Lepisosteus oculatus: one gene and its partners. The protein of the gene in region 2 interacts with the protein of the main gene of each other region in a pairwise test. Links are inferred from orthologs where the notes say so. Each region holds a gene or a part of one and is shown on either strand. Other genes may lie near its edges. The genes, in order: krt18a.1, nme7, neflb and zbtb48.

What was found.
Region 1: the proteins of nme7 (region 2) and krt18a.1 interact in binary tests that used the Homo sapiens proteins (3 or more experiments, as listed by UniProt). The two-hybrid records come from large-scale screens. The link is inferred for Lepisosteus oculatus from reciprocal best matches to the Homo sapiens genes NME7 and KRT18.
Region 3: the proteins of nme7 (region 2) and neflb interact in binary tests that used the Homo sapiens proteins (3 or more experiments, as listed by UniProt). The two-hybrid records come from large-scale screens. The link is inferred for Lepisosteus oculatus from reciprocal best matches to the Homo sapiens genes NME7 and NEFL.
Region 4: the proteins of nme7 (region 2) and zbtb48 interact in binary tests that used the Homo sapiens proteins (3 or more experiments, as listed by UniProt). The two-hybrid records come from large-scale screens. The link is inferred for Lepisosteus oculatus from reciprocal best matches to the Homo sapiens genes NME7 and ZBTB48.

The regions. Positions count from the first base shown.
Region 1 is NC_090696.1:17,462,098-17,468,952, reverse strand, and holds the start of krt18a.1 (keratin, type I cytoskeletal 18), read right to left. Parts: upstream 3,013-6,855; 5' UTR 2,912-3,012; coding exon 2,498-2,911; intron 1-2,497. UniProt on the Homo sapiens protein: Involved in the uptake of thrombin-antithrombin complexes by hepatic cells. When phosphorylated, plays a role in filament reorganization. Involved in the delivery of mutated CFTR to the plasma membrane.
Region 2 is NC_090710.1:23,185,860-23,193,542, forward strand, and holds the start of nme7 (nucleoside diphosphate kinase homolog 7), read left to right. Parts: upstream 1-4,663; 5' UTR 4,664-4,961; coding exon 4,962-4,979; intron 4,980-5,150; exon of another isoform or gene 5,151-5,174; intron 5,175-7,683. Other genes in the region: homocysteine S-methyltransferase, read right to left, coding at 511-611, 751-923, 1,517-1,584, 1,843-1,928, 3,183-3,231, 3,474-3,554. UniProt on the Homo sapiens protein: Possesses an intrinsic kinase activity. Displays 3'-5' exonuclease activity with a preference for single-stranded DNA. Does not seem to have nucleoside diphosphate kinase activity.
Region 3 is NC_090697.1:65,109,490-65,117,341, reverse strand, and holds the start of neflb (neurofilament light polypeptide), read left to right. Parts: upstream 1-4,847; 5' UTR 4,848-4,948; coding exon 4,949-6,010; intron 6,011-7,852. UniProt on the Homo sapiens protein: Neurofilaments usually contain three intermediate filament proteins: NEFL, NEFM, and NEFH which are involved in the maintenance of neuronal caliber.
Region 4 is NC_090720.1:9,105,603-9,112,686, reverse strand, and holds the start of zbtb48 (telomere zinc finger-associated protein), read right to left. Parts: upstream 3,003-7,084; 5' UTR 2,855-3,002; intron 1,950-2,854; 5' UTR 1,935-1,949; coding exon 1,188-1,934; intron 244-1,187; coding exon 1-243. UniProt on the Homo sapiens protein: Plays a critical role in transcriptional regulation and chromatin remodeling. Acts as a regulator of telomere length. Directly binds the telomeric double-stranded 5'-TTAGGG-3' repeat.

The DNA of each region.
Region 1 (6,855 bases), on a different chromosome or scaffold from region 2:
CTCAGTGGACGTCAGTCCCTGGCGCTTGCTCAAAGACTCAATATACAGTAGCTGAGAAGGTTTGAACGCTTGTCTTCTTCAGCATCACTGCACATATAGCATGGCCCTGCAGTGAAGTCATGCAGTGTGATGGAATATTCTGGGTTGTAAACAGCTGAACTGAATAGTTTGCTTAGTCTTATGATTTTTAAAAATCAAACCCCTTTTAGTGAATGCAAATCCCTATGGACAATCCAGGACTCCGTGCTCCCGGACTTCAGTAAATCTTATATGAATCACTGAATGCTAGAGCAGAAGAGTGACACTATGTATACTTCATGGGCGAAGCCAACAAGATCTGAGCAGTAGTAGGTTAGTGTTGGCGATATGTGTGTTAACTTGTGCTGTCAGTACATTTGTGTGGTAGTTTGTATGTAACAGAGACAGATCTGAGACAAAAGGAGTGAGTCTCAGTGAGCCAAGTCATCCTCCATTTAAGACTTTAACAGGGCTCCCAGTCCTGGAGAAGGATTGTTTGTTTGGATTGTGGTTCACAGGTCACTGATATTGGTCTAAGGTGTGCCTAGATTGCAGTGAGCCAGGTCTCTTTTAGTCACTGAGCTTCCTGGTCCCAGCTCATGGAATGCATTGCTCAAATTACATGAGGGATTCTGCGCCTGTGTATTGTTTTTATGAAATCCAGCCTTCCCAGTTATTGTCGGAGCTGGGATGGACACTACTACAAGGCTCTGTACATCTACAGGAGAGAGAGGCCACAGGTGTGAGGTACAGAGTCAGGTGGAAGATGTGTCACACTTTAACATGTACCCAACAGGGCCAGATTCAAGCCAGTCAGATGAGACCAATACTACAGCTTGAGCTCCCAGATGCTCCCTGTGGGCTGCAGGCAGGTAAAGTGAGCTCCTTTCTGCTGACCGCTGGCCCCTTCTTTCACAGTTGGCCTCTGATGGCAAAACTGCAAAGTTAAACATTAATGAGCTTTCTTCACAGCCCAGCCAAAAGGCCAGTGTTATACTGTACGGTCTCTACATAAACCAACTGCAAAGGTAAAAAAAGACAAGAGTGAATATGCAAAGAGAGAGAGAGCAAAATGCCAGCCTCCTAAATTTTCTTTTACATATCCTTAGGTTATATTTTTAACTAGCTATATTTTAGATGGTATCGTACACAGTGCCTTACAAAGGCTAACACCAAAAAGGAATCTTAAGTGGTCCGCAAGCCTGCTCCAGTTAGTTATTAACCCACCAGAATGCTCTAAAAAAGATACTGGAAGCTAAGTTCACTTTTCCCAGTCCTACAGACTTGCACATGAACTGAAAGTGTGAGCTCAAGTCTGGCAGGATTACGCAAGCTTTAATAATAAAGATATTTAATCTCCATAAATGTCATTCAAAATGACTGTTAGGTATGTGGACGTGCTATTATCACATATTTTATCTTGTGATCTGTCTGTTGGGAGACTGTACATTTGCAAGTGAACCAACCAACTGTGGAGCCCTAATTGCAAAGTAAACCCCTGAACCTTCCTTAGGAAAAGTAATTGTGAGTATAAATTCAAATGATTGATGATGTTTGTCTTTGAAAATATATTGCGGTGCGAATACACTGTAATATAAGTTTCCCCCTTCTACAGCACTGGACCCACCCAAGTGTGAAAACACAATAATTTGTGGGGAGGGGGGTATTGACTGTTAATCATCACCTCTACTTAAAACCATTGTTTACTTTCAAACACGCAGACCTGCACTTCCTGCACTTTGAAACTTTATCCGCTTTTAAAGGCTTTATTGTTCTCTCACTGTATCCAGATTCACCGAGTTTACAGCAGAGATAAAACAGTGCAAAAACACTCTTTTTTTTTGTTCCAATGAATTAACCACCAACTAGGCTCTGTCTACCTCATGACTGTCTCTCAGGATAACAGTTCTTTTTAAAATTGACAAATTTTAAAAATTTGCAGAACAATCTGCAGAGTCTAGACATGCTGCAGCTCAAGGATCTATAAAGCACATGAAGACAAAAGCAGAATTGTTTGTGGCCTGACTCTTTTCGTTTCAAGAGGACAGAGGGGACACTGGCCCTGAAATAATGAGACAGTGAATCTTTCAGATTTGGACCTTCTCTGTAGATTCAAGACTTCCTATTCTTAAGGGAGGCTGAAGACTTACCGGTTCTCTTCCTGTCCAGATTTTTTATGTAGCTAAACCTTGGTCATGTGATTTTCTGCTTTGATCTTCTTGAGATACAATGCACTAATACACCGATACATTCTCTTTTATTTTCACGTGCAAAAGCACAACAGGGTAGATTTCAAGATAAATGATCAGGTGGTGGTTGGTTAGATTGCAGCCCCTGGATCAGTGTGGAGTGGAGGAGTCAGAGCAGGTTAAGGGAGAGCTCACCTTGCTTGTGTGAACCCTGAGAGCCCACCTCCGTTCCAACCCCGCACAGCATCCTCACCCCACTCCCCGCCCCCCACACCGCGGCGCCCACCCACCTTCTTGCGCAGGTCATCCAGGATGTTGTCGTAGTTGCTGTAGTCGCGGGCGGCAGGCCCCCTCTTCTCCAGGGCCTCCCGGATCTGCAGCTCCAGCTTGCTGTTGGCCTGCTCCAGGTTCCTGACCGTCTCCAGGTAGGAGGCCAGGCGGTCGTTCAGATGCTGCATGGTCTCCTTCTCGTTGGTGATCACCCCGGAGCCGCTCATCGACACCGAGGAGGAGAAGGAGCCCCCGCTCTGGAACCCCCCGCCGAATCCCGAGGAGCCCCCCAGGGAGATGCGAGACCCCCGGCCCCCGGCGCCCCCGTAGACGCTGGCGGAGCTGCTGAGGGGCACCGAGCGCTTGACCATCATCTGCGTGGTGCGGATGGAGCCGGCCGGCCGCATGGAGTAGGAGCTGGAGCTGAAACTCATGGCGAGAGAAGGGGGAGTCTTGGCTGGCAGAGAGAAAGAAACACAGGAGAGTGACCTGGAGTAGCTGAGGCACAGGGACACAGAGCAGGGGCTTTCTAAGCTGCCTGCCTTATACTCAGCGCTCAAATCTCCACCTCCAAGGCAGGCTTAGCACCACCCCTTCCCTCCCTCCTGCTCTCCTATCCAGCCCTGAAGGGAGAAGGGAGATTGTGAAATTAACCTCACAAAAAAGTGGCCAGTAAGTAAGGGAGTATGAGAGGGAGTGAAGGAGAGCCAGGACCAGAAACAAGAGCCTCTCCGCCCTGCTGGACAAAAGAGCCTCCAAATCCGCTTAGTGTCCTGTTACGCGAAGGCCGTGCCGAGAAAAAGCCCAGTTTCAGACTCCCACTCTTTCACGTCCCATTCTCAACCTTTGCACATAAGAAATGTGCCCTTTTGGCTGTGAGTTGCCGCAGGACTGTAGATCTCCCTTTGTGATTACCGCCCTGATTACAGCCTGTTCTGAAGAACAGTTATATATTAGTTTCCTAATAAACAATGATAGCGCTGCTTCTTAATCAGTGCTTATTGAACACTCATTTAACCACACTAGTGCTTGGTTAAGTAGATAGTTTAAATCACCGATCTTGGGGTGGGGCAGAGCGGTGGCTCTGTGGCTAAGGATCTGCACCTGTGGCTGGAAGGTTGCTGGCTCAAATCCCACAGCTGGCAGAGGATTCCTGCTCTGTTGGGCTCCTGATCAAGGCCCCTTAACCCCAACTGCTCTAGGGGCACTGTACAATGGCAGACCCTGTCTGTGTGTCTCATGGAGAGCAAGCTGGGGTATGTGAAAAGATAATTTCTAATGCAAGAAATTGTAAGGAGTTAATAAAGTGATAGGGAAAAAAAACACATTCCAAACTGCATTTCATGTTTATTTTCTAGAAAATGATACATTAAATGATTTTGGTTGTGAAGCGGTGAGGCCACCATCGGCAAGTAAATGGTGCAAACCTGCAGTTATCAAAACCATCACTGAAACCTTCCTATTCTGAAAATGGGGCTACGCACTTTTCCACAGTTTCTTTCAGGAGCACAGACATGCGCGGGCCTGTGTCCCTGCTTGAAACAACAAATCCAGAGGGAAGGTAAGCATAAGGACCAACGCCGGAGGCCAAAGCCCTATCTCATTTTTCAACACGCAAGAGCATCTCGAAAGATTTGATCAGGCACAGGAGTGCCTAACGATAATACATCATGAAAGGAAAGCGAAAGTTTGGACAAAAGCCTCCTCATGTTTTTCCATGGAATTGGTTTGAGCAGGGAGCTGACGTGCTCCCAGGCAGTAGTGCACTGTTCCGAAGGGATGGGGTGGGAGTTCTGGGCAGGGATGCATCCGTACAAAGCGCCACAGCCAGATGTTGCAACATGGCTGAACAGCTGCTTTCAAGCTTCAAACTCCCAGAGTCAGGGGCACTCTTTTTATCTGCCCCTGTCTGTCCCCCCCTCGATCGTCTCTGCGACTCAACCCTGCGCCTCACGATCAGAGCAGAGGTGGAAGAAGCCCATGGAGTGTAGAAAGGAATTTTGCGATTGTGCTGGCGATGAGATCAGAGGGATGGGCTGGAAGAAAACAGGAGCAGAACTCCCCCCTTGCTGAACTGGAATTACTCAGACAGCCAGTTTGAGGAGGGGGTGGGAGGACAGGGTCTCGGCTTGGAGTGCATTCCTGTTTCAAGACAGCCCCCCATTACACCACAATAAAACACAGGCTTGTCTAAAGGCTTAGTCTTAGGTTACTGAATAAGTAAAGAATAATTTGTCTTAGTTTACTTTGTCTTAGTTGACTATCCAGTGCTTCTGAGACTTAAGCAATTTACAATTTCATCTTCACCTGTTACTATTCTGTAAATACTAACAAACTACTAACAGCCGCGATCCATTAAAGTGAACAAATTAAAGATGTCCAAAAAGTGTTGCTGTTCATTTTTGATGCTTTTGTATCAGAAGGATGGTGGTGGTGTTTAAGACATTTGACTAAAAATGTTAAGCAAATTATTTCACTGAAAAATTAGCAGAATTACTTAGGCATTCCAGAATTTGACTAAAATCAATTAAGGTGCAAATTGCACCTGCACCTGAACATTTTTTTATTTTCACTTATTTCAGATCACTATGAATTATTTTGCTTTATCACACACATTGTAAGGTCCTGGCACCCACCCTTGAAGTGCACCCTGAAACACCCATCCAGAGGGATCGCTGTAAGACAAACAGCTGGACACCCCTCCCAGGACCATGGTGTGTGTTTTTGGGAATGGCATGTCAGTTAATTTGTTCATTCAACAGTGCTCTCGTGTTGCCACTATCTTCTAAGGTTATTGAACAGAAAGGGACATTTCAAGCATGGTTGAAAAACCTTTCATCACAGAATCATCTTTGGTATTCCTACAGCAGGGAGGGAAGCTGGTAACTTGTCCAGCCAGTCACACAGAGCTCTCATTCACAGCTGCAGGCTGAAACAATTCATTCTGCACATTGTAAGACCTCAGACCTCGAGGAATGTTATTGTTACCCCGTGTACACGTGCACATACAGTAGGGTCAACAGATAATCACTGTTTACAGAAGCTGTCCTCCTGCTCCTCAGGCTTGAACAACGCCTGATATCTGACTTCTACAGTATTTCCTTTCAGTGTTACGATGGTAAATGCAGGGATTAATGAACTGCACAACAGCATCAACAATTTGAATTATTTTTATTAATACCACCAAACAAAAATTAAGGAGGGGAAGCCATTTTAAAAGATTACCCTTGTGTTATTATAACTTGGGTAATATCATGTTACAGTTTTTACTATAGCAATTCAGCAATTATTACACTGTGATACCAGTGTAAAAGGCGGAGTTTTAAGAGTTTTTCCCATGATTAAACCCTTTCAGGACAGTACTGTTTTTTGGTAAAGGAAAACGGGCTAATTCACTTTGAGAGACAAGGGGGAAAAAAGATAAAAGAAAGAGAAGCTCAGTTAACCCCCTGAGACACTAACAAGCAAATTGAACTGCCGCGGAAAGGTTTCAGACACAATCCAGCAGTTATGTTTATGGCACCACCAGTCTCCTTTGATTCCTTCCTGTCCAGACCACTGGAAAGCCTGCAACCACTGCGTGCACCACTCCACTGAATGGAGTCCGGACCCCATTTCAAACTGGGAAAACGCAATTCCTTTCAGACCCAGTTGGAAAAAAAAATCCCAGACTCTTCTTGTGGTCGGAGTCATAATTCTCGTTATGAGCATGTCTGCACTAGGGCTGGGATCCTCAGTGAGCAGAACAAAAGAAAACTGCTCAAGCATCCCGGCACGCTAGCCCGCACAGCTCTGATTACACAACTCTGGAGGCTGCTAGCCCTCCTCATAACATTGCAATCATACTTCCCAGGTGTTCAGTATAAACAGACTGAAGATGAGCTGTGCCAGGGTGGGTGGGGGAAGTTGACAAAGACAACAAGGCTGATATGTCAGTGGTAAATGAAAAAGGAGAAACTGAGCTGGAACTCACGTTGAAAACACCTGCATGCGGCAGACAAATGTCCCCTCCAGAAATGTCATCTTTTATTGCTCATTTTTCACATGAATGTATGACTTCATCTATTCGACACTCAGCTCTTTTGACTCTGTGCCAGCTTTCGACTTTCATTTTTGTACTTTCTTTCCTCCCATTAAAACCACAGCTCACACGGTGAAACCCACATCCATCTGGTAAATACTGGGTATGTGATGATGAAGAGATGAGATCAGCATGAGGAGTGTATGGACTCACTGCACTGCATGCACCATTAAATGAACACACCTCATTGTTCAACTGTACGGACGGTTAGGGGGATTAATGACCTGTTTTCATTTAACAGGGGCTATCAAGTGAACAAGAGCAACAGACCACCTGTGAAACAGCTGGTGGGACACA
Region 2 (7,683 bases):
ACCACAAGAACTATTTTATCAGCTGTTATTGTTGTTGTAACAAAACAATCCCTCAGTATAATAGTCACAAATATAAAGGGTCTTTTGTGATTGCTCACTTAAAGGTACAGGGGCTGCCATCTGAAAATCATGGTTCATTTTCAACAGAAAAAATCTTGTGCAGATATATTACAGTTATGGAACACACCAGGAAAGTGTGATTTTGGTTAAGAAAAAGATTCAAATAAATCACATTTTCACCTAGGATAATGACAGTGGATGGACCACAAATGTCCTACAGAGTTCACACTGCAACACGCCTGCCAAGAACCTTCCCAGAGAAACCTCTTTCTCTTCCTCTTTCTCTGAGCCATGGCTAACTTGCAGTGTGATTAAATCTGGTGCACATTACTCTTATACTTATTTACTTATTATTACTTATTTCATTAAAATAAAATGCACATTACTCTTTCAACAGAGTGTTTCAGTAGACAAACAAATACATTAAAAACAAGAATTAGCTTGTATTACCTCTATACTCATTCCCTCCTCGTAAGATCCCGTGTACTCAGAGCCATCTGACAGAAATGCTCCATAGGGTCCAACAGAGCCAGCAACTAGTAGCACCTTTTCTTCAGAGGATCAGAAACCGTGTTTTCTTAAACCAGTAGCTTAATCAATACATCACAAGGATTATATTCCAGACATCGGATATATGTTGAACTATGGAAAATATAGATGTCATTTCTTACAAAAAGAAGCTGCATTTACCTGGCTGAAGACAGTTCACCTTGAACTCCTGCACTGTCTCTCTAGCTATCTGAACACCTGACATCAGTAGCTGAATTGCTTCTTCTGAAGTCAGACCCAAGTGCTTGATAAATCCTTCCACGCTTGCCTGATATGTAGCTGTTGTGACAACATCAGAACCACTACAAAGAAATCTACAGAACAATAAAAGTATTACTGCTTTTTGTCAGCACTACCTACAGTATGTCAGTGGTAGCCAACCCACATCCTGGAGGGAAATAAACAAGTATGTTTTATGGGTCATCCTTAAATCATCAGTTTCTTGACACTTGATAGTATTTTATCACTGAATCAGATAGTTTCAAGATCATCAGAAAAGAAAACACCTGTAGCTCTCCAGTATAACAGTTGGCCACTCGTGTCTTAATTGAACAAATTCCATTGCTTAATTGATCAAACTGTTCACATCTCTCGTGTCCCATGTTTTTGCAAATTAATGATTTAAGGGTGACCTTTAAGAGCTGCTGGATAGTGGCTCTCCAAGACCAGGGTTTGCCTGTAGTACCCTTGATCTACCCACTGTATATGTTCATTCAATGTATATCACATGGTATGCTTTAAATGAAAGAGTACTATATCCAGAAAAAAACTTGTTCTTATGAATATACAGAAACAATAAACATCACACCTTTACCACTATTTTTGATGTATTTGCACATTTTATGTAAAACTTAAAATAATAAAATACAGTGTGTGTATGAAGTGAAAACTCTGGGCTAGGTTTTACCTGTAATGGGCATCTTTCACAGCCTGGGGGTTAGTGTGCAGAATCCTAGCACTCCACAGTGGATCCCCCTGGAAAAGTGAAACATTATAGTATTTGTCTAGCATTACTGTGCCTTACTGCCTTTCATCTTATTTTACATATATTACAAATGACTGTGGGCTCTCAAACATCATGAAAATAAATGGATATATTTCTAACTGTATGAGTATAATAAATTGATACAGTACATAAGAACAAATTGCTTGAGGTGTAAAACATGTAAAATATACAGAAGCAATAAACCAAAGTTACCTAGTCCAGGTTTACTGTATAAATCATTAATGTACCTGTATCTTTACACCAGCTGCTTCCAGCTCTGTTGCCAATCCACCATCCAGAATGACTATTTTGCCATCCATGTTCATTTTTCTTTCTGAAAAAAACATTTTTAAAACAGCTTTAGCAGATCTATGTCTCAAAGATGGTTACTGAATATAAATATTTCGCTATAAAATGTCACATAACAACATGCAGGTATTCAACTTCAGGGTTTCTAAATATAACCTAAAATTAATGACATGAAATGACAGAAAGCCTTGTAGCACCCGATTCTGACCATGTATCAATCAAGAGTTCTGGTGAAACAGATTATGACTCAAATGTACAATTAGTCATATTATCTGGAATAGTTCAGTGTTTTAGCACCACCTAGACACGTAGAACAGGGTTAAAAAAACTTTTTACAGAGGAGAGATGCAGTTGTATCTGGTAAAATAAACAAGTAATGCTTTCAGAGATATTTTACCTTGTAAAAATGTCATGATGTGTATAAATCTAACAACCACTTTAATATTCACACAATATTATGTGTGAAATGCATTAATCTGGCCTGTTATGTGTATTCTGCAGACTGGTTATTACAAAATAATATATAAAAAAAAGTATAGAAAAAATGTTACAAATTTGGAATTAAGCACAAAATAACGAACCTTGTGAAATGACTAAGTCACCAGGTTGTCACAAACCCCAGGTCTCACCATGGTCGAGAGAGTTCCCACAAATTGTGTCATGTAGCAGCCCTTCATGCTCGCTAGTCACTGTATTGACTCACGTAATGCGATGTACGAGAAAATAAGTACAGGTTGTGGAGCAGAGATTTCACCACAGCAATATTACAACTGTGATCTGCACGCAGAGTTAAGAAGTCCCATTTATCCGCAAAACCGTTTCCAAGTCACGAGCAATATTTCTATTGGATTCACAAGCCTACTTGTTCACAATGTAGTGGAGCCGCTTTCCCTCACCGTATGTTTTTTGTTGCTTAGTCTTGAATCGCAGAATATGGCGCTGTGCTTACCTGGAAAGGTCGTACCTTTTGTGATGTAAATTGAAGGTTTTACAACTTACTGTGTACATTTGAATTATTGGCGCTCGTTCTTTCAAAAAACCGAAATATCAAAATAGCGTTGCAGTTCTTTAAGAATCTGTGGAACTGCTCTTTAACCTGCAAATAGGCAGAATCGCATGAAAGCCTAACTGTATTGTGATTTGAGAAAACAGTACATTTGTACAAGTGTATTGCGTATTGAGAAACTTCAGGTCACATTTTGATTTTACATCTTAAGCTTTAAGAAAACTTGAACTTAAAGCATGTGAACTAATGCTTGCGGCTCCCATAACGACGTACCTTTCCCCCAGTTCCTCTGACTCTGTCCTCGGTCGTATTGTAACTGTCTCTGCAAGGAAAACACATGCCTTTTTATTTCCACAGCAACTCTACTATACTCGAACAATATAAAAAGAGAAAACAAAACAGAGCTGTCCAAAAACACACTTCTACATCTATTGTACTGTATTTAAATTAACATAACAATGACATACTAAGGACTGTATTTACATGAACAGAAACATTATATACTAAGGCTGCCATCTGGTCGGTTTTTAAGCGAGAATACTGCAAAGAATGGAACCTATATACCTTTCGGCTGATTTTATTAAAGCCGGCCAAGAGTTCAAAAGGGCAGGCTAAACATACACAGACGGAACAAGATCTTTGCATGATCGTTTTATTAAATGTAAGGGTTTAATTCTGACAGCTCTCCTTTAAGACAGTGATATAAGGTTTCATTTAAAGTGTCAAATACTTTAATTAATAAAATATATTATATAATACATGAAGATTACATACATTGAAGACTCACAGTTACGTATTAAGAAAAGAAAACAAAGATGACGACAAACGCGTCACAACAACACACACCGCCTTGTTCATAATAACCTTTAAGGTCATAGAAATACTTCCTCCCTTGACAAGCGTCACCTCGCAATTTGTTAGTTAGATACTATAAATCAAACAATCAAATGTTTTCATTTATGAAAATAAAAGCTATATATATATACTTTACTTTTAGCTTTTGTTGCTATTTTTTTTCGCCAGCGCGCGCGTGTTTCCGTACGCTTCGTTACATTGTTGCTATGGTGATGAACCCGGACAGATGCCGCGGGTTGACTGACTAAACGAGCGAGCACAGACCCTTCAGGATGGTGAGCAATATTTTGTTTTGTTTTTTTATCTGTTGCATGGATTTTATATTTCATTTAACCCATTATATATATTTATGTTTGTTAACGTTTAAGGTCGAATTGTAATTGTAAGTTATACTGGAAAAGGAGGTTTTGATCTCTTGTTTTCTTCACTTTCCTGTATTTTTAAATCACTTAAGAAAACGACTTTCAAAAAGCACATAAGGGAATAAACTGGGATACCTATATCATAGCTAAATTCGGGAAGCTCTTTTTTTGTTAGCCAAGACGTCTATAGCTTATCAAAGTATGTTTATTGAGACACTTAAAAATGGCTCGTAATTTGGTAATGTTTCTGATGTTGACTATGATATCTTCTCAGTTTTGTCCCGAAGCATTTATTTGTAGCTCCAGCTCCTGCATCACTCTGTTTTGTAGTTTTGCAGTGTGTAGCGATCACAAGGTTTATAATTTAGCCTATTCTTACTCTTAAAGAACAGTTTGTGACGTTGCGTCTCTTTATAGCTATAGTGCCTCTTTGTGCACACTGTTGGTGGTTACATGATATATAACGAGGGTACAATAGTTATAAAAATAGTTGCATGTCAGTAGACGCAGTAGTCGTGCCTCATAAACAAGGCACTAGCGACTGTAATGTTTACTTCTACAGCACTTGGATACACAGCATTCATAATGAAGTGGTAAAGAGCTTCCTACTGTCGTCGTAAACAGATTTTGTTCTGAAGGGACATTCAGCATTGTTTCACAACAGTTGTTAACAGATCTACAGATCTGCAGCGGCAGTGTATTAATTGGGGACGAATCCCTGAGGTATCCACGTACACGTATGTAAATAACTTCGTCTCGTATTCTGTATGATCATAACCGAATAAAGTCAGGTCCTGCCGTTAAGATCCAGCGGAGGACGACGCATTCCTGCAGGATGCAAGGCTTTTCAGAGGTCAGATATTTGCCTTATGATGAAAATCAAACACTCACATCAGATTCATTGCGATTGCTCTAAATGCGAGGACGTCGAGTCTCATTGTGTTACGAGAGTGACGTTACACCGTGCTCTTGAAAAGCGTGGCTTTCCCTGAAAATTGACGAGAAAAACTAAATAAGTGCTTACATCCCCCGCAGATGCTTTTACGTTTGGCCGTAGTCCTCGAAGGTGATAACCTGCCTTGAAGTATCCGTGTTTTTACTGCTTCCTTAGCTCACGCTCATCCTTAGTTCAGCTGTACCGCTAGGTGTCACATTTGCTCCTTTTACTAATTTTTGAAAAGCAAAATTTCAATGTTTTGTTTTTCCTGCTCACTAAAGGGCAAAGCTCTGAATAATGACTAGTAAACAGATGTTGACTATGATCCTTTTTATATACCTGCAGAACAAAGAACAGCAGGTATACCAAAGCATTTACCCGGTTATCATAGTCAATGAACGTCCTGGAAACAAGTAAATCTAAAATGTTATTTTGGGGGGGGTCATGCTGTGCTCTGCTTTTGTACAGTTCGGGGGGAAGTAGTCAGCCAGAAACAAATGACAGTATGCAAATTAATTCTGTGAACTACATCATTCATGGTTTGAAGACGTGCATGGAAGCCAAGGGCTTCCCAAGAGTCATGGGCTTGAACATAGATTCGGAAAGCGACATCATGGTTAAAGCTGCGTTAAGTTTTAGTCCACAGCAGTTAATAGTTAATTGCATGACATTCCTCTCATACATGTTACAAGTGAGTTGCTTGTAACATTTTGGAGAACTGAATCCTATTGCGTTTAACCAACATATTTAACATGGTTCGGCCACATCTTCCGAACATCCAAACCTCATGTGTGATTTTATCATCCTTCTGTAAGTGCTGTTACTTAACCTGCTATCTCACATTTGTGTGTGTCATTAGAGTGGCATTCTGGTTTATTGAGGTTGGCTTTCTCGTGTCAGATTCTCCACAATTTGATTACCTGTAAAAAGCCCAAGTATTCTTCTACTTGTCAAACACGTTTTTTTGTTTTTTTTTTTTTATCTTGGCATGAGGTATGACTGTGGGATAAAATGTATCCATACAGATTGGAAATTGTTGATTGAAAAGGCACGGGCAATTTCAGTCCACATTCTGAAAGTTCTTCTGTAACTGCAGAGATGGTAGTGATTATAACAAAAGGGATTCTTTTCAGTCTCCACTGATGTTCCATGTGCAATTTATATGAAGGTACAGCAATAAGAAACACTGATGTCAAGCTGGTCTCCATTTCAGGCACCTTTTAGTTCATGGAGCAAAATGATATAATAGTGCTTGAACACCGCAGGTCTGCCTGTCAAGCTGCTGATTTGGACTTTTTAGTTGATGTCTGATTTTTTTTTTGTTTTGTTTAATTTTAAATAATTTGAACGGATTTTTAAATAGAAACAATACTAGGTAGGGCATTCACACAAAATAATTGAAAATCATTAAAATTTCATGCACTTAGAGACAGCCACTTTTTGAGACCCTACAAATCAAATCTGCTGAGTTGTGACATCGGTGGTGCCTACAGCACGAGGCTGTTAGGAGAATAGCTTCTATGTCTACTGCTTGTGTTAAAGCACTTGCTTTTGACAGAATGATGCTGTTAAAAGCCAAGTGAGCTTTTTCTGGAGTCATTCCTAGAGTTATTAGAGCATTTGAGGAAAAATCTTCCTTACTGCGAACCATTTTTCACCAGTGTTTTCAGGATCTGCCCCCTGCCTGCTCGACCATAAATTAGGACTGTGTTTACTTCCTGATTTCCTAGTCAGCCACAGCTGCTGTTTCCCATGGGTGTGCACTGCCTGTGCAGCTTCTCTGTGGGAGCGCAGCACTGCACACCTTTTCTGTCTCATCTGCCTCTCGCTCGGCATGCGGGTTCACAATATTCCTCACAGATCCGCTGCTGGTTCCACCACAGTGGTAGATTATTACAGTATGACAGAGCCAAGCACGAGGGCGAAACACTCCATAACCCTTCCTGGCAGCCCTAGGAGATAAGCAGACTAGTTTGAAAGATTGAACAAGTTCACTATTACACATACTAATTCAGCAGACAGTGGCTAAATTTTGTGCTGCCTCTCCTGCTCCTGCACCTGCAGTCAGCCCCTCATCCTGGACCTGGATTTCCCTTGGATGAAGAGTCTTAACTCCCACTTTGCCAAGGACCCTGGACTTCTCTGTGCTTCAATACCAGTCCTCCTTAAAAGCACCGCACCTTTATAGCAGGGCACACCTCAGATCACCAACCTGCTGATAGAATGAAAAGCACAGATTCTTCCAGCAAGGTAAAAGTTCAGGGTCAGCCACAGCTTCAACCACTTTTGGAAACTTCTACCTCCCAGAAAGCACTCATCTGCCCACCCACTGAAGGCAGCTTTTCCAAAGAATCTTTCCACTGTCCAGCCCGCAGTGATTCCCGAGCTTCATGACTTCCCAATGCCTTCCCAAGAGCTACGCCTCTTGACATTTCTGTGCTGGATCCAGAGCTCAAAGTTCTGCCCTCTGTCAGTGGTGGAGGGGACAGTGAATGCGTAACAAGCCAGCTTTTCTCAGACGCCCTGCCTGACAGTGATGGTCCCTCTTACTGTCCAGACGAAGTTGCTTCACTTGGGGCCAGGAATCCCATCCACCTGGGCCTCTGGCTGTGACCTGCTT
Region 3 (7,852 bases), on a different chromosome or scaffold from region 2:
CACTGCACTATGTGATGGGGCTAAGGAAATGTCTGACTGCGTCTCTGGTCGTCAAGCACTTGTACATGCTCATAATTAGATTGCACTTGTCTGTCATAATGTAATACTGCATTCCCACCACTAGTGGGCAGTATATACATGACTGCGAGTTATTCAGCGCTTTGCTTTTCTCTACATGGGTGGTATCAATAAAGCTTCAGCACTGAGCTAAAAGCACTGGATGTCTGACCAGCTATGGCACATTCAAGTTAAAATGGTTCCATTCTAATGAATTACTTTGAGCCGCAACATCTTTAGCTTGAGAATGACCATCCACCCTTCATTAACCGCTTAGTCCTGAAGTCTGGTTCAGGTTTTGTTCCTGGTGAGCCAAAGTGCTTAATTAGGAGGAGTTAGCTTTAGCTTTCTAACGCCCTGCTCATTGATCATGACAGGCTGCACAACCAGGCTTCCAAATCTGCAAGCTGAGTCCGAGACAGGGTGAAGCCCCCATCTAGAGGTCTGTGGGTGGACAGCAGGACCCAGCCTCAATGGGTTGGCAATCCATCCCAAGATGTGCAAACACATTTGCAATTAACCTAGGCAGCACGTCCTTAAATTGTGGGAGGAAACCTCAATGTTACTATAGAGTGACCATGCAAATACCACACACAATGCACCCCACGCCAGAATGGAACACAGGAGTTACAGAGCAGGAGCTAAGGCAAAAATGCTACCTGCCATGCCTCCATGCACAGGGGAACCTAACTGTGTCCAGTCAAATGTAGCCACGTCCAAGTCACGTGCTCCAAGGACTGACCTGCTGTAACGTACAGTATGTGATCCTTTTGACTGACGTGCCACCTTAGTTGAACTGATCTCTGCTTCGAAAGTGAGAAAGCTTCCAACACGTTTCATCAGTATTTCATTAGAACTAATTTAATTTGTAATTAAATTAACGGGGCGCTTGTTGAAAGACCTGGACTGGAACGGAGCAGAACAGAGGCAGTTGATTTACTAGCCTTTTCAATCCATTGTTTTCCATTCTGGGCATGTTGGCCCAGCCAGCTCTTAAGACAGCACAGCTGTTCAATAAGAAATGTGATTTCAGTAATCTAATAAATCAGATGATCGACCTAAAGACCCGCCCTGCTACAAATTCAATTAGAAATTCCGGTAATTGGGTGCCAGGGAGTAATGTAAAGCTATGTTTCATATTGAATCTTCGGTTTCAAGGGTCTCCAGCCCTAGTCCTGAACTCCAAAACTCTGCTTTTCCTTATACTCCAGGTCTCAATTTCTTGATTGAACCAATTATTGGCTTAATTAGTTCAATTAAGTTCAGTCTTAATTAATTCCTTCTGACTGAAGGTGCCTATAGAAGGAGAAAGGGGGCAGATACAAAATACCGCACATCAGTGAGTAACTACTGTATCTGCAAGACCACCCATCTCTTTAGAGACTGTGTCATTAAATTAAATCTGTGCCATTGTGATTTACAGCCCCTCTGTGATCCTGCTGTGATCTGTCTCTCTCTGCCCACTGGCCCCACAGCGTAATTCTGCTGTCTCCTCCCAGCTCATTAGCACAAGATCGATGTCGTAGCTCACAAGCACACTGCAGTAAACCAGTCCCCACACTCTCCACTGTGCAGCAATCTGCAAGGCAGAAGATGAGAGGGACTGGGGTTGGCTGGATTCCAGATTTTGATGGCCAGAGGACAATCACTCAAGAAAAAAAAAGCAGATTTAAGGGAACAGTACCTACCACTCATGGGATCTACACTTTCTGTGATTTTCATTACACTATCTTGCTACAGGAGCACTGCATGATTCTATCTCAACAAAGACCAACTTTTCCATGCTGACAGGCTGGGTAACAGTTCCAGCAAACTTAGCTTTGGAAATAAATTACACCAGAGGAAATGACTAGGGGAAGCCTGCTGTATTGCTAGTTCCTATACCTAGTTTAAAATTTTAAGATACTGTATACTCGCCAACAACTGGATTACAACAAGCAATGATGACAATTCACAGAAAGTTTTTTTCACTCAGTGATGATTAATGGGTTCTAAAAGTCCAGTCCAGAACATATTGAGTTATGTTATCACTTTCATGGCTAAGAATGATTTACAAATTTTAAATTCACAGTAACATTTAAAGTTTAAATTTAAGTTTAGTGTCTATAAGTAAACTGGGGCCACTCGCTCACACACATTCACTCAGATCTTAAATCAATTATTTTCCCTAGGCTTTACTAAATAGGAGAGAGAGGTACACACAGAGCAGCTGTCAAAGCGCTGAGCTTGAAGATGAGAGATGGAATTAAATCAGTTGAAAGAAAGATACCGAGAGGGAACTGTGTGGGGGCAGTGGAAGATCACTGAAACAGGCTTCCTACAAGAGACCAGCAAGAGCTAATCGACAGATAACACCACAGCGGCTTCTCTGCCTTGCTAATTGGTCCTTGATTTCTAAAGATGCTAACTGAGCCTAACTAATGTAATCCTGCAGTCATGAGATCGCTGATCAAACCCTGACTGAGCAGAATGACTCTCAGAGATATTGTCCTTGCTGAAAAGCAACATTTTCTCATTGATAGTGTAGCATCACATAAAACCGTATTAATTAAAATGTTTCTGCTTCTGTTTTCTTTAACTCTATAGGCCCTATTTAAATGTCCCCTGTTTTTACTCATTGTGACCCATCATGCTTTGCAAACAGTTATCAAATTTGATTCTACAGCCTAATGTTTCACATTTTTCACACATGCCAGTAATATCCCTCTCAGAAAATAACAAGGCCATAATTTTTTTTCTTTTAACGCACACTTGTAAAATACAATGTTAGAGATTAAGATTGTCTGATAGTCAGAAAGGAGATCTTAAACTGTGGGCAAATGGCCCTCTCCAGAATAAATGAATCACATGGTCATTTGTGGACTACAGGGAAAAACAGGCTCCTAGTGTGTTCATCTGGTAGAATAACACAATGCTCCTTCCCTCTGCATCTGAGGTGGCAAGAGGAACAACAGTGTTTCTGTACTGTACAAAAATCCTATTGGAAAGCCTGTTAGACCCACCAAACAACCAGGGCTTATCATAGAGGAATTATACATATACTATATATTAAAATATAATGACGGTTTCCAATGTACAGCAGTTTTATCCTTTATAGATTTTACCAGATGTACAGTACTCCAGTGAAGTGCACATATGTTTGCATGTATTTTTGATCTAAGATAATTCTAAATGCCTATGCAAATGTCCTGCTAATAAGGCAAGAAGCCAAAGTGATCCAGCACTTGCTACTGGTTCAAACAGAAGAGCTTTGAGTTTGTAAAACCTGAAATGGTTCAAGCGCCTGTGCAAAGAGAGATATTTTCCTCCCTGCCAAGGAGTTTAAAAACAGAATATTTCTGGGTAGGAATGAGGAAATAAGAGAAATTCAAAACTGCACTTTCTGCAATATATTGATCTTGAAATATTGTGTTCGTGCAGGCGCCAGCTAAAACATTTAACTAAGAACATTGCAATCACCGGACTGGTTGAAAAGATCCGGACTGACAGAGACAACTGGAAGATAAGCACAAAGTTCCTTCAAATCCCAAAGACCCACGATGGAAAGGTAACGTTTACCATCTCCTGGTGCTGGAAATGACACTTTAAAATTGCACACAAGCTATAAATATGACATAAGCCAGGAGCTATGCATTTATCCCCAGAGGTAGTCTGCAAACTATTAGGAGCAGTTTGCTAATCATTAGTGGACCTCAGTGATAAATGCCTTCTTTTAATAACCTCTGTTGATAGCTACACAATCGTCGGCACTGTCAATTACAAATGCTGATCTGAAGGGTGGCTGAGATGATCTAAGACTCCAGGGAGCAGAGGACTGTGCCTGAAAACGAATTGCACAGCTACAGCGGCTACTCAGTTACACTCCACCCCCCAATTTGACTGCGACACGTTCCCACCCAGACTGTAGACTCCCAGGTTTGAGCATCTAGCCTCCTGCGTCCGCCCTGAGACTGCTCGGTCTACACATCACCGCTACCTGCTGCTGTACTCTGCAGAGTGCAGCACAAGCCATCTGTTTAAGTACTTGGCTGTAGCCAAGACACTGCATCGTCTGCCGTAGTTACTATTACAATAGTGAGACACTGAAGTGAATGGGCCCCAGATTCTCAATTTCACATTTCACACACTGACCTGAGTCTCCTGCTCCTGCAGTCTATACCTAAATACTGTTATTGTTATTACAGGACAATGATACCTGCCCTTACTGTTCTACAATCTATAAATGGAGTGTTATCTAGAACAGGCTTGGGCTGTAAATGCTGTTATATAAGTACAATATCCCGAGCTATGATAAAGACAGGTTCATGTTTTAGAAATTTCCATTCAGTGTCTTAATGTCTTTGTTCCTGCGGCTTAAAAACTGGCACGCGCCTCCAGAGCCATTTCACTTTGCTTAGTGACAACTTCGTAGCGCTTGCAATCCCAGAGTGACAGCTCGGGACATGGCCCTAATTTACATGACTGCACAGTCGTGACATGATTTCAAGAAAGCAATACAGCTGAAATGCATGAATGTGGCTTCGCACGAGCCTCACACTCATCCTCTCATGCTTGTGAGACTCCCAAAGAGCCAAAGTAAAAGTCGGATCACAGGAGAAGACTTGAATTCAAATTCCCTTGCAGGAAGGAAGGAAAAAAAGCCCCTTCCTTTTCTCCTTTGCTCTCCCCCCTCCTTCTAATCCTCCCTCCTCTCCAGGCAGAAACAGAGTCCTGCCTCTCTCTCTCTCTCTCCATCTGCAAGCTAAGCTTTGGCTGAGAGCTCAGCTATTGATCGCCGCTGTCAGTGGAAAAGTGCTTGCGTCAGAGCCCTGCCAGGGGTATAAAGGCAGCACCGCCGCGGTAACAGCACTGAGTGCACACGGCAACCGAACTCCCCTGCCCTCCCGCCGCCATGACTTCCGTTGGCTACGACCCCTACTTCACCTCCTACAAGCGCCGATATGTGGAGAGCAGCCCCAGGGTGGTGCACATCTCCGGGGTGCGCAGCGCAGGATACGGGGGCGCCCGCTCGGTCTACTCCAGCCACTCGGCTCCGCTGTCCACCTCGGTGGGCACAGCCCGCCACCGCCCCTATGGCCTCTCCGCCTCCTCCGCCTCCTCTCTCCTCATGGCGGCGGACTTCGACCTGAGCCAGGCCACGCAGGTGGGGAGCGAGTTCAAGACCGTCCGCACCCAGGAGAAAGCCCAGCTGCAGGAGCTGAACGACCGCTTCGCCAGCTTCATCGAGCGCGTGCACGAGCTGGAGCAGCAGAACAAGGTGCTGGAGGCTGAGCTGCTGGTGCTCCGGCAGAAGCACGTGGAGCCCTCCCGGCTCCAGGCGCTGTACGAGCACGAGATCCGGGAGCTGCGGGCCGCCGTGGAAGAGGCGCGGGGCGAGAAGCAGGCGGCGCAGAACGAGCGCGACGGCCTGGAGGATGCCCTGCGGGGCCTGCAGAGCCGCTACGAGGAGGAAGTGCTGAGCCGCGAGGAAGCGGAGGGACGGCTGATGGAGACCCGCAAGGTGGCAGACGAGGCTGCCCTCGGCCGAGCCGAGCTGGAGAAGCGGGCCGAGACGCTGCTGGACGAGATCGCCTTCCTGAAGCGGGTGCACGAGGAGGAGATCGCCGAGCTGCAGGCGCAGGTGCAGTACGCCCAGATCTCCGTGGAGATGGAGGTGGCCAAGCCCGACCTGTCTGCTGCCCTCCGCGACATCCGCTCCCAGTACGAGAAGCTGGCCGCACGCAACATGCAGGCCGCCGAGGACTGGTTCAAGAGCAAGTTCACCGTGCTGACCGAGACGGCGGCCCGCAACACCGACGCTGTGCGCAACGCCAAGGACGAGGTGGGCGAATACCGGCGCCAGCTCAAGGCTCGCAGCCTGGAGATCGAGGCGTGCCGGGGCATGAACGAGGCCCTGGAGAAACAGCTGCAGGATCTGGAGGAGAAGCAGAATGCTGACATCGCCGCTCTTCAGGTCAGTGTTTGTAGTGCAAGTGGAGGGTATAACTTCCATATACAACTTTTACTGTCATTTCTTCCATGGTTAAGTTGTATATACTTTATATATCCACATAATCTCTCCAATTTCTAAAACAGATCAGTAATCTGATCTTTGGGATCAGGCTAGAATTCTATCTAGATTTTTTTATCTTAGCCTTTGCCTGCCTTTAATGCAAGTTTTTGTAACCAATACGATAGGCACAAAAACAGAGGAAGATTGCATTGTATTTGACCGTTTCTCTGTCTGGTCAGCCAGGGGAATGAAACTTCATGGCATCTACTCAATGGAGAGTTAGTAACTGCAGTATCCGTCTCTCTACTGTCGTGATCAATAAGAGTTAAAACCGACTATATCCCAAACTGAAATGGCAGATGTCAGAGAAACAGAACAGCTGCAGAGAAAGGGTTAATTGGGATTGCTCCACACTTTATGTTTCTTGTTCTTTGTTACTGAGAAGAAAAGTGGACCAGGGCCAGAGACACATTAGCGAGACCAGGAAAAGAAAAATCTCTCAGCCGTTCCAGAGAGGTACTAGAGATGTCTACAGACTTTTGCTGAGACACTCAGTTCTGTATTTAGTTTCACATTAAATCCATCTGACGGTTTATGGTTCATCTGCGATAGATGGACTAGAAAATCTCCAAACATCTAGAGAGTTCTTTGAGAAGTTTGTACTGCACATTGCACTTCTGCAGAAGCAGTAGCAGGCTGTCTTCATACTGCCCAGAGTCAATTGTACAGCCCTCTGATAAAAAGATCACTCACAGCACACGGTGCTATTGTTGATGACAGCTGAAAAAAGAGAGAGAGCAGAGACTTTTTTGCTTACCGGAGATGTGCGGTGCTGTGAGAGGAGCTTCCCTTATAATCTTAATAATATTTTTTTTATTCAGCACACGATTGCAGTAGCTGAACAGGAGCGGAGCTTCTTCTTTTCGTGAGACAGGTTTGAGTGCTTTCAATTGTGCCTAGCACATTGTCGAGTGAGCTTTGCATGTCTTCCACCAGGAGAATGCTGCAGGCAGGGACAGCTTCCTCTGCGGTGTTGCGGACGCCCGGGGCTCACAGCACACTAAAATGAATTGGTTACTGGAGAGCAAGCCTGCAGAGTGACAGGTCTTCTGCAGTCGAAATACAAAGCCATTGACAAAACACAGGAAAAGGAAAAAGTGGAGGAGTTGAGAGCAAAGCCTGTCCATCCTTAATGCTGTATGTACAGGACACTAAAGAACTAATGATAGTTACTGAGCAGATGCTCTAATTCCAATTAACTTGCACAGGATAGGATGTGATAAAAACATCAACTACCTGCTGAGTGACACTCTCTAGGCAATCTCTTTTACATACCACCCCAGTGGTGGACTCTGGCAGGCTTGGAGCTTAAGCCATGACCTTCCTGGTTCTGATACAGCCCTATACCTCCACCACTGGCCCCTACTGCCAATTCTGCAAATCCTGTACAGGGAGAAAGCGACACAGGAAAAAATCAAAATGCACACTCTTGGCACTTTTCATGAGCGCTGCTGGCATTTCCCAGAACACCATCCATCAGTGTCTCTTTCCCTAGGGGGATCTGCTCTGCTAATCCTTGAGGTGGCAGGATCCCAAAGCTCCTCATGGCTTGCCTGCAGTATGGCGATCTGTATTCTTTCCTGTTATTATTATGGTCCATTTGAATGCTGCCAACAAATGTGATTTAAAGCCGAGAAAATGCCAGCACAGCGATTGAACAGTCAGTCTGAAAATGGATGCAGTCCCCAATTTGAGATCTGTCCTGGCAGTTGTAGCATTTTATTCGTTTTCAACGGGCATTGC
Region 4 (7,084 bases), on a different chromosome or scaffold from region 2:
GGTGGGGCACTGGACGGAGCCCCTCTTGGCGTCGGCCCCCGCCCCCTCGCCGTTCTCCTTGTTGACCGCCCCCCCTCGCCCGCGGCCCCTGCGCTTGGCCCGGGGCCCCGCTGCGCCGGCAGTGGGGGTGGCGGTGGTAGGGAGGTAGTCTTCGTCGGTGTCCTCCTGGCCCCCGCCCTCGCCCTCCTCCTCCTCCTCCTCTTCCTCGTCTTCCTCGCGGGCGGGCTCCGGCGGCTTCCCCTCCTGCAGCCGCGAGAGGAAACTCGGTCAAGCACCCCGCCACGAGACCGGCTGGGGAAAGAGCCGCTTCTCGGCTGTTCATCTGCATGAACCGGGGGAAGAAAAGACAACGTAGCCACAATCTATGAATTGGCTACATTACTCTGCTCTCCTCCCCACTGAGAGCTGGTGTGTGGGGAGCGTTCTGGTGCACTATGGCTGCCGTCGCATCATCCAGGTGGGGCTGCACACTGGTGGTGGTGGAGGGGATCCCCATTACCTCTAAAGCGCTTTGAGTGGAGTGTCCAGAAAAGAGCTATAGAAGTGTAAGCAATTATTATTAATTATTATTAACTAAAAGCTCAGGTTCGTGTTCGAGCGAGCGCGGGAATTATTGGACTTCCGGCAGGGAGCTGCGTCCGGTTCATTCCACGCCGGAAAGAGCAGAAAGGAGACACAACTTTTCGGCTGTGGAGCCTAATTCAGAAACGTCGCGTCTCCTTTCTTTTCAGCACGGAACCTCTTGGATTAACAGAACAAAAACATACTTCAGTTGTAGGACTTAATTTTTTTACAGACAATATCGAACTTCAACACCCCACCCTTTTCAATTCAAGCACTCCCTGCCCCTGGGCTCGGGCCCGGCCTGATTAGAGATCACTTTATTGGCCCTATACACTTTATTGCATTAGGAATGTGTCTTTTCGCAGACCCCAGCTTGCTCTCCCTGAGACACACAGACAGGGAGAGAAGCTGGGGGTCAGAGCGCAGGGTCGGCCATTTATACGGCGCCCCTGGAGCAGCTGGGGTTGAGGGCCTCGCTCAGGGGCCCAACGGAGTAGGATTCCTCTGATACGAACCGGCAACCTTCCAGCCACAGAGCGAGCACACCACCCAGGCCTGATGCCCCCCTCCTGTACACCCCCTGGTGGCTACGCGGCAAACCCCCCTGGTTTCGACCCTGGTACCTCTGTGCCCTTCGCGGAGGGGCTGCTGCTCCGCTCGCCTGTGTCCGGCCCGCGCCGCCCCTCTCCCTGCGCCGCCAGCGGCTCCGCTCGGCGGGGGGCCGGCGGGGGGAGGGGAGGGGCAGGAGGAGGGGGGGGGCTGTCCCTCAGCAGGCGGCTGGGGCCCTTGACCCTGCGGCCCGAGCGGGTCGTGGTGGTTGCGGGGGCCGGCGGCCGCGGGGCGCTGTTGGCGGCCTTGCATTTGGGTCTGGGCGCCGGCCGGGGCCTGGGCTGCATCCCCCGCGTCTCGGCCTGGCCCGGGCCCCCTTGTGCCTCGGGGTCCCCCCTGGGAGACTCCTGGCTGTCGCCGTCCCTGGCCAGCGACTTCTCTAGCGGGCTGGCCGGGCGCTGGTCACCCTGGCTGAACTCCTGGCAAAGGTCTAGGGCGTGGGGCACTGACAGGCTGAGAGCAGCTTGCCGCACTTTGTCCAAGGTGCCAGCGTTGAGCTTCATCTCCCCGGTGTAGATGAAGTCCAGGAGCAGCCCCAGGCCCTCGGAGGGGCACTCCTCTGGCAGGGAGACCTCCACCAAGGGGGTGGCAGAGTAGGAGTCACGGAAGAGCTGGCTGAAGCAGGCCAGCACGCTGCGGTGGGCCCGGAACACCTCTCCATCCACCGCGCTCAGCGTGGCGTCGCAGAAGCTACCCAGCGCCCTCTGCTGGTTCAGGGAGGACAACACCAGCTGGGCATGTCTGTGTTCCAGCGCTGCCATCTTCCGCCGCAGAGCCTTTTAAGCACAGAGCAGACACGGACGGCCTGTCAACAGCTTCAAAGCCCGTGGAATTGCCTAATCTTACCTGCGTAACTAACGGTATACATGTGATTGGCGTAAATGATGGAATGACAGCCTAGCCTTACACATGGGTGCATGAACAACGCCTTCTTGTTAAATGTATTCAGCTGGGCATGGATGAGGAGACTTCTCTCGTGTCTAAGGCTCCAGAAACACGATAGGAATTTGTTATCGTTAGGCCATGTTAAGGTCGCAGTACTGGAACAGGTTTTCGAGGGGGAAATATTGTGTGACAATAAAAACTGTAAAACGCACTCGCTTAGGTCACCTCTGGTGCCTGGGTTTCTGACCCAGTACGTGTTCTAGGTCTTTTTGAATCACTGTATACCGTTCATGAACCTGTGGTGAAGAGATTTCAACATCGTCAACAAACCCTTTTAATTAGTTTAATTCGATTTGTTTAAAAACATCGAAACGCCCCTGTCCATTATGAGACGCATGGGGCTGGGAAAGTTTGCGTTTCTTTTTACTGTACAGCTACAGGGGGTACTGCATTTGACAAGTAAGGGACAGGGCGGATCAAAGTACTGTTCTCCAAAACGTTAGACAAAGTACATTAAAGTAACACATTGTACCCCTACTGCACCGGGGTAGGCGTCAGCAGCATTTTAATATTTCTGACGAGCGGAGCAAGACGTTGGTGATTTATCTCCTCTGAAAGTCCCAATGCTGTAATACGCAAAACCATGACAGCATGACTCACTTTTTCGGTTTCCTTCTTAGCAGAATGAGTACCAACTCACCCTTAGCTCAACGTTTACGACGGAAGGCATGTTTTTAAAGACGGTCCCTAACGTGCCATTGGTACGACAGAAACCGCCGACGAAAGTGCTTCTTACCTTATTTGAGGATGGAGGGGAAGTACTTTGTTTCAGGCTGAGAGAATGGGATCAGGCTCATGCTATTTCGAATGGTACTTTTAGGGGAAAAAACAAATGGGCTCGAAATACTTTTTTTCTACCTTACAGGAGGCCATGTTGGAGAAGAGACCGGATATGACGTACTAGCGTGGCTAAAACTTCACCAGGAAGATTGTCAATTGCAGTGTGGGGCGCAGTTTCTCTTCATGTCTATTTTATACAGAAAACCAGTTTTCAAAACGGAATCTGATATATATGTGAAGGTTTATATGGGTAAGGGTTGTTTTTTTTTAACTGGCCAGCCTTGGGAATTCTCAGAGACTATCTAGAGGGAGCACAGACATAATAATAATTGCTTACACTTATATAGCGCTTTTCTGGACACTCAAAGTGCTTAACAGGTAATGGGGATCCCCTCCACCACCACCAGTGTGTAGCCCCAGCTGGATGATGCGATGGCAGCCATAGTGCACAAGTGCGCTCCCCACACACCTGCTAACATTGGGGAGGAGAACAGAGTGATGAAGCCAGTTCAGAGATGGGGATTATTAGGAGGCCATGATTGGTAGAGGCCAGGGGGAAATTTGGACAGGATGTCGGGGTTACACCCCTAATCTTTTCAAGAAACGCCCTGGGATTTTTAGAGAGTCAGGACCTCAGTTTTACACCCCATCTGAAGGACGGCGTCTTTTTACAGCGTAGTGTCCCCGTCACTATACTGGGGCATTAGGACCCACATAGACCGCAGGGGCAGCGCCCCCTGCTGGCCCCACTAACACACTAGCTTTCCCTCAACTTTAAGAAAAACGTGTCATTACTTCAACTTTAGTGGTGTGTAAAAATCGTCAGATGGCCACTGGACCAGAAGGGAAACGGTGTGCTTTGCTCCTCTGGGCGTGACCTCGGCTTGTAGTTTGCAAACTGGTTTAATGAAAGCAGTCTGGTGTGAGGAAGTGCAGCAGTGACTCAGGTGGAAAAGTGAGGAGCCGCTTCCTCACTAGAACTAAGGGGGAGCTGTGGGAAGGCTGTATTGTGCCACCCCACAGTGTAATTCAGCCAGGGAGATGGGGGTTCACACCATAGAATGACCGAATGGGATGTTATGCTCCAGAAGGAAGGGCGCCACCTACTGGTCCAACAGTAGGTCTGAGGACCTCCACATTAAGCTACAGTGTGGTAAATATGAGCTGTATGAAAAACAGGAGCAGGCTTCACCCAACAAACCGCAATATATTTCTGTAATAGTTCAAACAATGGTGTGTATGTATTTGGAGTTCACTATACTTTAGTGTAATTTTCCAACGGGGCGAAAAACTATTAGGACTGAAGGAGTTTATTTTATCTTACCCACGTGTTACACTGGCAATTGATTGACACAGGTTGTCCTGTGCGCGAATAAGAAAGCCACAATTTTAAAATTATCTCATTAATTCAAATGATCAGATCAATAAAGTACTGTGTTCTCTCAACACTGTCGTTTACATATTGCGAAAACGGAAGCGCTGTACTATATCCTAACCAACAGAGGGCACCAACGCAGAAACGAAGGCCGGAAAAACTTCGGGAAGGTTTGTAGCTGTCCATCATTTTATAGCTTATGTTTTCTCAAGGAGGAAAATGTATTTATATGCTTAATACAACAATTTCGCTGTCCATTTAAATTAAATTAAATTTATTTTCCAGGACTATTTTAATTTTCATGTATGTGAATATGAAAACTGTTCTTAGACGATTGAAGTCTCAAATATGCCTATTCCCGATGCAATGAATTGTGAAAGTGTAACTCCTGGAATGACTTGGTTGGCCAAGGAAGCTTGTTGCTGTGGCGGCTGTTGTTACACATGGAGACGTGCGGCTTTTATTTTGCGGCTGTAGGCTACAAAAATACGACGACTAAAAGCTGTTAAGCGGTGGATAAGCGCGAATAACTCTTTTTGTGGGGTTTACACAGGTACGTTTTACCATACGTATTATTTGTGTGGGTGGAGATGGGCTAAGAGGCAATACAGATGGGAGTGAACGGTAATTCATATTCCAGAGGGGTTTTGTATGCTGATGAACGTCGCTGGAAATAAAGACAAAATCAGACATATAACAATATTATGTTACCAGCGATTATTTAAGCGAGATTATTTGTGATATTCTGTGCAGTGTGAATGGTTCTATTTAGAAATCGCTATGTAGTCGTGGTGGGCATAAGCATAGGTGAGCCAACGCGTACATATTGAATCACATGTTGTACAGCGGCTTTTACAAACAGCAGTGTTTAAGTGTAGACACAGGTTCGGTAGCGTCCTGTTTATTCCTCGTCTAAATCCTCTGAGCCTTTCCGACAAAAGACTTACCATAGCCTCTGCATGAATAATGCGAGATTTTGAAATCGATCATACAGTTATCACGTTCTTCCAGTTTATTTTCCTTCAAGGGAATTTATCTGCTCCAGTGGTCTTCAGTGGCATCAAGAATCCAGAAATTAAATCCAAATGCATAACATGCGCAAGGACCTTTATATTAACCTCAACGAATTATGCAGCTTTTTTAGTTTGTTTTTGATAATTATTGTTTTTTTTTAGCTTCTTGCAAAAACAAAAGACGTTTGAAGTATTAGTGACAGTCAGACCGTAGCATTTAAACACGTATTTAACAGTTAGCTATCACATTCCTTGGGGCATACAATCTTTAAAAACAAAAAAGACCAGATTTCATTGACTTCAGATTAGGAGACAAATGAAAGGAAGCATTTGGACCATTGATTTTGTTTCTATACAGTCTTAATTTTGGTTCTGTACAACCCCGTAATTAGAGTAAGCAATTAAAACGTCCTCTCCAGTTCCCCAGCCACAGCCTGGGACAACATGCAGACACCACACAAACAGGGACAGGAGCTGGAATCAAACAGGAACCCTTGAACTGTCCAGGCGGGTTAACTGACTTCTGGGAAAATTGCACACGCAAAAGGTGTGTGTGTTTGTGTGCGCCCTGGGTTCAGTCCCCGGGGTGCTGTCTGCGTGGAGTTTGTATGTTCTCCCCGTGTTTGAGTGGGTTTCCTCCAGGTGCTCCGGTGTCCTCCCACAGTCCACAGACACGCTAGGCAGGTTTATTGGCTTCAGGGAAAGCTGGCCCTGGTGTGAGCATGAGCATGGCTGGGTGTGCCCTGTGATAGATTGGCACCCCCTCCAGGATGTACCCCGACTTACTTACTTACACTTACACTTATATAGCGCTTTTCTGGACACTCAAAGCGCTTTACAGGTAATGGGGATCCCCTCCACCACCACCAGTGTGCAGCATCTACCTGGATGATGCGACGGCAGCCATAGTGCGCCAGAACGCTCCCCACATACCAGCTCTCAGTGGGGAGGAGAGCAGAGTGATGAAGCCAATTCATAGATTCATTCATAGACTTGCACCCCTTTGCTTGCTGGGGTAGGCTCCAGCTCCCCCAGTGATCCTGTATTGGATAGAGAGGTTAGAGAACGGATGGACGGACACTTCGGTGAGGGGAACAACACTTCTGCCTTCCCGGTACAACATGTTCGGTACAGCTGTTTCGGATGACGTGCCAGTCGCCGTGCCGCCCTGCAGCTGTGCGTTTCCGGGTGGGGGGGCAGTGAAGAACGGACTGTAGGAGCTCCCATCTCTCGCATTGCCGTGCAGGTCAGCTCCAGCAGCACGGGCCCATCCCACGCAGACGTGCTTTTCACGTTCCTGGGAGTTGGCACTTCTCTGTGTGATTTTACAAGCAGCGGGGATCTGGCCTGTAAAATTCAGGAATCCCAGGTCCACTGCCTCACCCTCTTTTACCCTGTGTCTACAGTCTGTGTTGTGGGGAGACCCCCCCCCATCATAACTGAGGGATACTGGAGATTCTAGAGGTTCAGGCCAATATTCTACTTTACCAATAAACACCGATTTGCCAGCGGCAGCAAATGAGACGCATTAAAACTAGCAGCGTAATAATGCTGTTAACACGTAGTATGTAAAATAAACAAAATGCCTTTCACAGGCCTTACAGTTTATGTTCTATCCCCTATGTCTTCTCTTTTTTCTCTTCATGTCACACGGTGGATGCAGTAGAGTTATTGCTGCACATTGCAGGTACCGGATCTGTCCTCTGCAGGCTTATCCGATAATGCGGCTTTCTTGCTTAAAGTCACGGGTTTTCATTCCCTCTCCTCTCCTGCCTCTCTCGCATGTGTGGCACTATTA